Danio rerio: one gene and its partners. The main gene of each other region encodes a partner of the protein of the gene in region 3 in a complex. Links are inferred from orthologs where the notes say so. Each region holds a gene or a part of one and is shown on either strand. Other genes may lie near its edges.

The links.
Region 1: smarcd1 (region 3) and arid1b share a complex: the UniProt entries of both Homo sapiens proteins name them as parts of the neuron-specific chromatin remodeling complex. The link is inferred for Danio rerio from reciprocal best matches to the Homo sapiens genes SMARCD1 and ARID1B.
Region 2: smarcd1 (region 3) and dpf1 share a complex: the UniProt entries of both Homo sapiens proteins name them as parts of the neuron-specific chromatin remodeling complex. The link is inferred for Danio rerio from reciprocal best matches to the Homo sapiens genes SMARCD1 and DPF1.

Annotation. Positions count from the first base shown.
Region 1 is NC_133195.1:5,200,435-5,204,191, reverse strand, and holds the start of arid1b (AT-rich interactive domain-containing protein 1B), read left to right. Parts: upstream 1-904; 5' UTR 905-1,375; coding exon 1,376-2,389; intron 2,390-3,757. UniProt on the Homo sapiens protein: Involved in transcriptional activation and repression of select genes by chromatin remodeling (alteration of DNA-nucleosome topology).
Region 2 is NC_133190.1:16,350,367-16,354,023, reverse strand, and holds part of dpf1 (zinc finger protein neuro-d4), read left to right. Parts: intron 1-2,148; coding exon 2,149-2,309; intron 2,310-2,404; coding exon 2,405-2,512; intron 2,513-3,657. UniProt on the Homo sapiens protein: May have an important role in developing neurons by participating in regulation of cell survival, possibly as a neurospecific transcription factor. Belongs to the neuron-specific chromatin remodeling complex (nBAF complex).
Region 3 is NC_133197.1:7,406,886-7,410,542, reverse strand, and holds part of smarcd1 (SWI/SNF-related matrix-associated actin-dependent regulator of chromatin subfamily D member 1), read left to right. Parts: intron 1-83; exon of another isoform or gene 84-134; intron 135-375; coding exon 376-492; intron 493-616; coding exon 617-718; intron 719-871; coding exon 872-1,033; intron 1,034-2,226; coding exon 2,227-2,324; intron 2,325-2,404; coding exon 2,405-2,540; exon of another isoform or gene 2,541-3,657. UniProt on the Homo sapiens protein: Involved in transcriptional activation and repression of select genes by chromatin remodeling (alteration of DNA-nucleosome topology).

The DNA of each region.
Region 1 (3,757 bases), on a different chromosome or scaffold from region 3:
ATCCAATTCACCTGTACCACATGTCTTTGGACTGTGGGGGAAACCCACACGAAGGCAGGGAGAACATGCAAACTCCACACAGAAATGCCAACTGAGCCGAGGTTCGACCCAGCGACCTTCTTGCTGTGAGGCGACAGAACTACCTACTGTGCCACTGCCTCGCCATGAAGAATATATATATATATATATATATATATATATATATATATATATATATATATATATATATATATATATATATATATATATATATATATATATATATATTACTTTTTATATGGTATGCAAAAAATTGTATCCACAAACAAAATTTCGGAAATCCTTTACCTCATTTGCCAATTGTTAATTGAAATTGATTTCTTGCTTAAAGCAAAAATTCTGCAAGTTAATAGAAACTTATGAAAATATCATGCTTCCAGTAAGTTAGTTTTTAATACTTTCTGTGTTTTTTATTTACTTTTGTACTGTCCCCTTTCTTTATTTTATTCTCTTTTTTCTTTTCTTTATTTAATTTTTTCTCTTTCTATTACTTTCTGTTCTTATCACTTTGTATTTGTATGTACTTGTGTTCCAGTCTCCTACATATTACTTCCTGATTTATATTGTACATTTCTTCTTTTCTAAATAAAAGTTTATTTAAAAAAAAAAAAAGTTTTAATGAAAAAAAAAAAAAAAAAAAAAAAACAGACCTCCCTGAATAATTAGTTTTTCCACTTTATGGGGGGGGGGGTCCCTTTGGTCCAAACACTGGTCCAACAGTCACATGAACTCTCTTATGTTTAATAAAGATGAGATTGATTAAAATGTGATGTGAGGAAATCCAAAATTGTTAACCGGCCGCGCCGTGTTTTCCAGCAGACTCTGCGCAGAGAGCTGAAGGAGATGCTCGATAATGCCATGCTGGAGCAAAGGGGCTCCGGCAGGGGTCTTATACGCACATTTGTACACGCTCACATTTGCCTCTGTGGGAATGGGGAAGTTTGATATTAGAAATAAACTTTCCAGTTTGCGAAAATGCGTTGAAGTCTCCGCTCGCCTCAGAGCAGTACCAGTTAAACGCATATTGGTGTCATTTGTCTTCGTCTCAAACGCATCAGTAATTGTTTTCACAGCTCGTGCCCAGCACACATTCACCCACTGACAGGACAGCGGTGGCGAACGCTCCATCCTCAAATCGCAAGCCCACATATATATAGCTATACCGGCGTGAATGAGGAGAAAACTGTGCGATATGGGGCAGACGATGGCACAGCGCTACCCCAATGAATAATGTAGATGGGCATCAGCAGCGTGCGGCTATAGAGTCTGCGAAAACACAGACGCTGGGGGAAATAAACCTACAGACTTTAATGCTCGTTTAAACGCGACTTCGAGTATGGAAACGGGTCTGGTCGCGAATCATCAAGTGAAAAATGTTGGACGCGGAGATCCCCCTCCTTCGCCTCATCATCGCACACCTCCACAGCAACAGTCGCGAGCATTCCATCAGCAGCACCAGCAGCGAGCCGCGCACAACAACAACAACATCTCCATCACCATCCACAGCAGCAGCAACCGCGCAGATCCGCAGCATGGAGGAAAAGAAGACGCTCTGGAGGCGCAGGTCGATCGCCATCCGCGTTTGCTGAACACAGGCGACGAGGAGGATCGCTCGTCCAAAACCGGGGGGGATCGAATGGGCAGCAGGTACGAGCACTCCAACTTTGGACCAGCGAGCAACAATAACAACAACAACAACAGCGGCGGCGGAGGCAGCGCGTCCCAAAGCGGGAGCAGCTCAGTTTCTGAGTTTAATAATTATTACGGGAATGGAAGAGGAGGGCCTTGCTTTGATCAACATGGCGGACAACAAAGCCCTAGGACGGCTTTAATACATCAGGCACCGGGCAACATGGATCAAGTGCAGAACTCCCACGAAGGGTACCATAATAATCCGTACAACCACTATCCCAACTACCGGCCGGGGTACGGCGGCGCTGGATACGGTATGATGAGCCCGTCGCGGCAGGGGAACATGATGGGCCCAGGTACCAATTCGCCTACCGCTGCTGCTGCTAGCCATGGCAAGGCTGCTATGGCCTCGACCACCCCGGCTCCTGGTGCCAATGTTGGGAGCTTTCAGAGGTTTCCCGGACAAAACCAACAGCACCCTTCTGGAGCTACACCCACCCTGAACCAGCTCCTGACATCCCCGAGTCCGATGATGCGGGGATACGGTGGCGGCTATCAAGATTACAGCAACCCGCCATCGCAGCAGCAGCAGTCGGGTATGGGTTTGGGCAAAGACATGAGCTCCCCGTACAGCCCAGCTGCCAGCCACAGCTGGGCAGCACAACAAAGAAACCACCCGGCAATGAGCCCCGGGAACAACGGCAACAGCAGAGCCCAGGTGAACGCTTTAGCTTTCCTTATGTGTGTGTGTTCAAGTTTCGCATGCAGGTCTAGCTGTGGCCCGATGCTACCCTTAATATCAGCTTGGAATGTATTAGTTTACGTTCATTGAATGCACGTGACGTGCATGAACAGTTAAATAACATGCTGATGTTGATCAGGCTTTGTTATTTCCCAGTTTTGGGCTTGTCTGTGGCTTGACAGGCAGCAGAACATGCCAAGTTCTGCCCAAGGTGACTGTGCTAACAGTGTTAGCATGTGTTAGCCTGCACCGAGACTTCATATATGCTTAGAAAGATTCCTATTTCAGCAACCGGATATGCAGCGCGGCTTATGTTCGTATACACAGTAAAACAATGAAGCATAATCACTATTAAATCCGTGTCATGTTATTGAACACATGATCGGCTGCGATTCCGCTAAAGATCTCGATCGGTGCAGTTCAATGATGGAAGATTCTAGCATTGCGTTGCTACTAAGTAAAAAACCCACTGCTAACGCTTTTTATTCACTCGAATAAAGCGACTAATTGAGTTAACGATTCTTTCCATATAAAAATTCGTTTTCGTTTTTGACGTATGGTTACCGGTTAGCACTGTCTGTCTGAAACTAAGTGCTAGACGGCGTTTTCAGAGCACAGGGCTACTGATTAGCATTGCTAGCTTGTATTAGCGCCATTGCGCCCGTCTGGCTTCACTTCATTATGCAGTAATTAATGTTTTCACATTCACCTCACACTCACTTGCTGTTATTTCTTTAGGCTATCTGTACATGGTTTTATACACGAAAATCTTTTAATTTATAAGATATGATAAGGCGGGCTGGTGTATTTCAAAACCTAGGCAGCTCACTGGGTTTTGTGACAACATTAAACTAGTATTTGTCTAGGTAGGTGACTCACTAGACTTCAGCATACTGATGCCTAAAATGCTGTCTAGCTAGGCTGTGTATAATGTAAAAAAACAATAATATCCAAAATAGTATGAATATAATGTCTTAACATCCTAGTATTTTTGTTTTGAGTCAGATGTTAACAGTCTATAGGTAGCTTCAATAGTTTATCACCTTGGATTATACATTCAAGCTATTCAGGTTACTAGTTTTCATGTTCGATTTTAGTGATAAATTGACTTCGCTGCTTAATATGTTTTTATGCGTGTCTAGAGGAAAAGCTGATGAATCTATTGGAATAGTTTAGCATAAATTAATATTCATTCAGCTAAATGCTGTAGGCTGTTTCTTTGTCAAACAATAAATGCTGGTAATGTTTGTTTTGCTTTAACTATTAATGCAGTCATTTGGTGCCTTAAAATCAAATATTTCATATGTACCTGATCATATGTATTTTCTGTTTTGAGTTATTCCA
Region 2 (3,657 bases), on a different chromosome or scaffold from region 3:
CAATTCCTTTGTCTTCATGCTTGGTTTGTGCTTTGACATGCACTGTCAACCCTGGGACCTTATATAGACAGGTGTATGCCTTTTCAAATCATGTTCAGTCAACTGAATTTACCACAGGTGAACTCCAATTAAGCTGCTGAAACATCTCAAGTGTGGAAACAGTGGAAACAGAATGTACTTGAGCTCAATTAAGAGCTTCACGGCAAAGGCTGTGAATACTTCTGTTCATGTGATTTTTCAGGTTTTTTATTTTTAATAAATTTGCAACAATTTAAAAATTTTTTTTTCACATTGTCATTATGGGGTATTGTGTGTAGAATTTTTCCATTTTGGAATAAGGTTGTGACATAAAAAGTCTTAACATACAAAATATAAAAAAGTGCTTTGAATACTTCCCGGATTCACTGTATATGACGGAATAAATAAAAGCGTTAATCAGAGGCAACATTCAGTTCCTTCCCTGCCAACTAGCTAGCAATTTTATGCAGGACAATTAACCTCATGACACAGCAAAACAAGTAAAGCAGTTCCTTAAAGTTTTATTCTTTAGGTGATGAATTAATCTATAGAAAGTTAAAGTTGAAAAGGAAAAGTTAGTTTTGGTAATCTTCCTTTTGCTTCTTTGTTTGGAGTGATGGTCTTTCTCTGATGAAGTCAGTTTGACAGCTTCAGCCACAATATTCTTAACCACGCCCCTCTTACTGTTAATTTGCTATGAGGGAATGATGCACTGAAAGCCCCACCCCCTACTCAATATTCCGTTTTAGTTGAAAGTACATGAACAGTAATACAGGGGTAAATAAATCTTTATTAACATTGGTAATAAAAGTCTCAACAACTTCCAGTTCACATGGATTTTCAAGCTATTAAGGCGATTGTGCTACCCACTGCACCACCATGCTGCCCCTGAAGTCATTCAAAGCAATTCAAATCTGTCATTTTTGCTTTAAATTATTTAAAACCTCATTGTTATTTTTGTGGGAATGACGATCATATTTTCTCATGTAACATCCTAATAAAACAAATGTATAAAAAAGAAAAGGTTACAGTAATGCCGTAATAAATGAATCTTTGTTAACATTGGTAATAAAAGTGTCAGCAACTTCCAGTTCACATAGGTTTTAAATAAAAATATTGACAATATGAAAGGACAGCCTAGAGTCCTGATTTACACTTGATTGAAAGTCCTTAATAGGATGTTAAGGTCATTTAAAGCTATTTAAATCTGTCATATCTGCTTTAAATTATTTAAAACCTCATCGTCATAAAACAAATGTATAAAAAAGACAAAGAATTTAAGTAATAAATTAATCTTTGTTAATATAAGTAATCAAAGTCTTAGCAACTTCCAGTTCAAATGGCTTTTTAAAAATACTGACAAAATGAAAGGACAGCCTAGAGTCCTGAACTAAACCTAATTAAAAATCCATGGTGAGATGTCATTCAAAGTTATTCAAATCTGTCATATCTGCTTTAAATTTTTTAAAGCCTCATTCTTGACACATAGGTGAAACCTACTGGTTTGAAGAATTTGAGAAAGTACAAGGATTTGAAATGGCAGTGAATTAGTATTTTGGTATTTTTGTCATGCTTAAAGGGTTAGTTCACCCAAAATTGAGAATTTGGTCATCATTTACTCCATTATTTACCCCATTATTGCTTCAAATCTTAAAGAGTTTATATATTTTTTTCTGTTCAGCATAAAAGAAGATATTTTGAAGAAAGCTGGAAACCTGTAACCATTGACTTCCATAGTATTTGTTTTTCCAACTATAGAAGTCAATGGTTGTTGGTTAATGGTTTCAAACATTTTTCAAAATATCTTCACCAGTGTTTAAAACAATAAAGACTCTCACAAAGGTTTGGAACCACTTGAGGGTAAGTAAATTTACATGTTTGGGTGAACTTTGTTTAATTAGAGCCTTTAATATGTCGTGAAATGTTTCATTTTGTGACAAGATTTTTGGTAAATAAACTATTGGTATACTGAATGACTTGTTAGTTTGCATCTTTAGTCGTGGCTAACTGATTTTCATAGTCATTATTTCATTGTTTAGAGAAAATAAAATGAAACAGGCCACAATCTCGTACATGAGAGGAAAAAAAATAACCTGTATTAAACTTAGATTGTTTTTGAAATGTTTCCAGCCTTGGTGAGGAGTTTTATCGTGAGGCGATTGAGCACTGCCGCAGTTATAATGCTCGACTTTGTGCCGAACGCTCCATGCGCCTGCCCTTCCTCGACTCCCAGACAGGTGTAGCACAGAGTAACTGCTACATATGGATGGAGAAGACTCACCGTGGGCCAGGTGTGTGTCTGTGTGTATCCTACTACACAGGTGACTTTAACATAAGTTTTGGGTTTTGGGTGTTTATGTGGCCACTCTGCATCTGTTTGACCCAGGTGTGGCTCCAGGGCAGCTCTATACCTATCCTGCACGGTGCTGGAGGAAGAAGAGACGGTTGAACATCTTAGAGGATCCACGTCTTGGACCCATCGAGTTTAAAATCGGTAAAATTAAACTAAATGTTTGATGTTTTTGTAAGTATGACAATCGTATTTTTCCACATATCATCCTAATAAAAAATGTATAAAAATTAAAACGGTTACAGAAATGCAGTAAGAAATGAATCTTTGTTAACAGTTAATGAAAATAAAGTCCTACATTGTTAGTTAGCTCACAGTGCATTAACTAATGTTAACAAGCCTAAAGATATTTTAATAATTCATTATTCTGTGTTGAACGATAACAAAAGGCAACACACTGTTATACTACATAAACTTATTATTCTCTTTCCATCTTTTTCTGAGACTAGTTTCTATATGCATCTCCTCCTAAACCATTCAAGTTACAAAGACCAAACTAACTGCAAACCTCCAAACTGCTCTGACTCGGGTTGCTATATCTTTTCCAACTTGTCAGAAAAAATGACCCGGAAGTTTCGGAAAAGTCCCATTGACTTAACATTAGACCAAACTATGTGACCTCATAACTCTGCTCCAGACTGTCATACAGAATTAAGTTTGGGCTCATTTAACTCAGACTACTAATCTGCCAATCAATGATATATTTTAACTTAGTAGCCACACCCTAGCAACCACTTACAGTACCCTAGCAACTGTTCCATAGACTTACATTGTAAAAAAATTGCCATTGACTTTACATTGAACATACTAAAGACATACAAATTCATAATAGCAATATACTAATCCATGCTAGAACTATGCTAATTCAAATTAGAATCATGCTAATTTATGTTAGCAACTGCCTAGCAGCCACTCAGAACACCCTAGCAACTTCCTAGCAACACCTTAGCAACTGCCTAGCAACCACTCAGAACATCTTAGCAACCGCCTAGCAATTAATCAGAACACCCTAGCAATGACTTAGAAACTGCATAGCAATCACTCAGAGCACCTTAGCAACTACATATCAACACCTTAGCAACCACTTAGAACACCCTAACAACCACCTAGCAACACCTTAGCAATGACCTGGAGTATCCTAGCAACCGCCTAGCAAAGCCTTTGCCACCACTCAGAACACCCTAGCAACTCCTTAGCAACTGCCTAGCAACCACTCAGGACACCCTAGCAACCACTCAGAAAATCCTAGCAACTGCCTAGCAACACCTTGCAACCACATAGCAACACTT
Region 3 (3,657 bases):
TGCTAAGGAAGCTAAGGGTTGTCAGGCACCAACATTTTTCAAAATGTCTTGTTCTGAACGAGTAAATGATGATTAATTGTTCATTTTTGGGTGAGCTATCCCATTAGGTCAAACCCCTTATCGTTTCTGTAGAAGTACACTATTTTTATTTGTAAAACTGAATTCTTTGTCACAGACTGAAACCATAAATTGTTTTAGATTTTTATCTTGTATATTATCATTATTATTGTTGTTCATTTATTTTTATCTTGTGTATTATTTACTGCTGGTGATGACTTCTAATTGCTATAATATTTTTATAATCATATGCCAATGCCATGACATAGCCAAAGAAGCTGATATGGCAATAAACTCAATTTCTTTCTCTTATCACAGACCGCTGTGTCCAAGTATGAAGCCACCAAGCAGAAGAGGAAGTTTTCTTCTTTTTTCAAGTCTTTAGTGATCGAGTTGGACAAAGACTTGTATGGACCTGACAATCATTTGGTTGAGGTGAGAATCAGAAATTGTGTTTCTCAAGTATAGTACTTTAAACTTAGTTTATTGCTGTGCTGTCCAGTAGATCCTCACTGCTGTCACTTATGTGCCATTTCTCACATCTTTGTCTTCATTACAGTGGCACAGAACAGCCACAACTCAGGAGACAGATGGATTTCAGGTCAAGAGGCCTGGGGATGTTGGGGTCCGCTGTACTGTACTGCTCATGCTGGACTACCAGGTAAACTTCAATTATAGTTGTGCACATGGTGTGTTTATTAGCATTTTTGTTCAAAAATCACCAGCAGATGGCGCCACCTCTTCTTGAGACATGCTTGAACTGGATATTATTTAGATTAAATGTGACTGATGGACGAAATCATTCTCTTTCTAGCCCCCTCAGTATAAGCTGGACCCCCGCCTGGCCCGGCTGCTGGGGATTCACACTCAGACCCGGCCTGTGATCATTCAGGCTTTGTGGCAGTATGTGAAGACCCACAAACTCCAGGACCCTCATGAACGAGAGTTCATCAACTGTGACAAATACCTCCAGCAGGTAACGAATGTCATGGACTTTATTTATGGGAACTAGTGAATGAAGACTTAAACTGGAAATACCCGTTTAGACAGAAGTGGTGACGTCTGACAATTATAAACTTCTTTAGTTGATAATTAAAGACTAGTAAAAAATTTCAGTATTATCAGAAAAAAACTACTGTGAAACTAAACTTTAAAATATTTGATCCTGAACGGCTATAGTTCAACTTAATTCATTTAATAATTGGCACTTCTACTTGGTGTAGGTCTTTGAAACAAACTCCTTTTACAATTCTTCTCATTCTAGATGTTTGAAATCCATTAATTGACTTATTTTATTTTAGATCTTCGTTTTAAGTTTTAATTCTTATTATAGATCGTACAACCAATAATAGATAGTTCTAGATTTTTGACAGCGGTTGGTTCTTCTCAGTGACTACGTTTACATGGACATCAGTAATCGAGTTATTTGCCTTAGTCTATGGACTGTTTTATCCTATCACAAAACCCGGTGAGAAGTCCTACATGACGGTAATAGTTTGATTAAGGTTTTTACATGTCTGTACCGCACTTCAATAATGCGACTGAAATCGGCATACTCCACACGTCTTAATTCTATTTCTCTTTAGTTCAATTAAGACCTTAATCGGATTAAATTAATCAAAAATCGCTTTTAACTTTTAATCGCATTAAAATCGAATTATTGGTGTCCATGTAAGCGTACTGAGTGTAAATATTGTTGGTTCTGATTATTATTATTATTATTTAAATATTTGCAAAACCCATTGTCAGTTCTTCTTATTCTAAAGGTTTTAAATTCAATTTACTTTTTTTTTTAAATTCCTCAGAACTTGTAAACAATAATAGCTGGCTGTTTTTTCTGGATTTTTGTAACCTTGTAATTGTTCTTCTCATTGTCAGTCTTACAATTCCAGAAGTTGTTTTATTTCTGCTTGTTCTGATTTTTTTTTAATTTTTTAAGTTTAACAATTTATACCATGTGGTTTTAATGCTTTGAAACAAACCCTGTAATTGTCAGTTCTTTTTCCAGATGTTATAAATCCAATAATCAACAGGTGGTTCTTTCTAGATACCTTATACTAGATGGACCTGATAATTGTCTGTTCTTCCAAATGTAGATCTTTAAAATCCAGTAGTTTCGTGTCTTCGTGTGTAATTTGAACCTATTAACACTTGTTTTTCTCAATGTAGATTTTTGAAACCCAGAGGATGAAGTTCTCTGAGATCCCTCAGCGGCTGCATGCCCTACTGATGCCTCCAGAACCAATCATCATCAACCACGTCATCAGGTACCCACTGATAACATGTTAGTCAGAATCACTATCTTTCCTTATCTGCTACGTCATCTAAACTGCTGTTTACTTCTTAGCGTTGATCCCAATGACCAGAAGAAGACTGCATGCTATGATATTGACGTGGAAGTGGACGACACCCTGAAGACCCAGATGAACTCTTTCCTGCTTTCCACGGCCAGTCAGCAGGAGATTGCAGGCCTCGACAACAAGGTTCGAAAGTTTCACCATGTTCGGAAAGTTATGTCTTTGTTCTGGCTGAATAAACAGTCCTCAAAGTGTTTGGCGAGCCGTCACAGGGGGAAAGCGTTACTTTTTTCTGCTCTTTTGTTTTGTGGCTTGGTCTGCTGCATATCAAAGTGACTCTTGGCAGTGGTCTGAATGTTTGAGCAGATTTGTTTTGTATATACAAGAGGTGTGGTGCAGGAGAAAGGGTTCTGCTTTCCATCATGTTTTGTCATTGTTTTTTAAAGTGTCCTAATATTGTGTTTGAGTCCCTTACAGCAGGTTTAAATGCATTTAAGTTGAGAAAATATTGTAATTTTCTCAGAATATGCCAATTATAAGAATCATTTTACAATGATTTTGATGTTTGTTTGAAAATTTAGGCTGTAAACCCCTTTCTTAAATAAGACAACTCTGCTGTCATTGGACAGCTTGCCATTAAGGCCCCGTTTACAGTAATGCATTTTAGTTTTAAAACGCATAAGTTTTGCTACGGTTAAGCCATCCATCCACACTACGCCGGAGTTCTCGAGCGCCGAAAACTGAGCGTTTTGAAAACGCTGGAGAGGCCGTTTTCATTCTAAAAAGCTGCTGCTCCATTTCAGTGTGGATGAGGAAAAACGGAGACATCTGAAAACGGAGGCGGGGCTGCTGAGATTCGCTACCTGATTGAGGCTTTTGTGTCATTGCGTATCCTTCCCTCCTTCGTCAAGTTTCTATCACATGACTATAACACATGGCTTTAATGCTACTGGAAGTTAGTACTGAAAACAACAACATGGACACAGAAATGGGAGCGTTGTTTGCACTATTGTCTGTTTTAGGCGCCACTGTGCAGTTATTCATTTGTTACGTTCGGTAACAACTCGACCTCGTCGTCTGTCCACAAAAATACCTCTCTTGCTTTCTTTGCCCGACGCGTTTAATGTACAACCGGCGTTTGTTGACTAACAATAACCAAATGCCGAGCGAGACGCATGCTTTCTGTTTATACTAGAACTCGCATACCCAGAGTGCGCGAATGGTCACGTGATATACGTTTTTGGTGGCGTAGTGTGGACGGAGATATGTTCAGAGACGCTAGGTGAAACGCTAGTGTGGATGC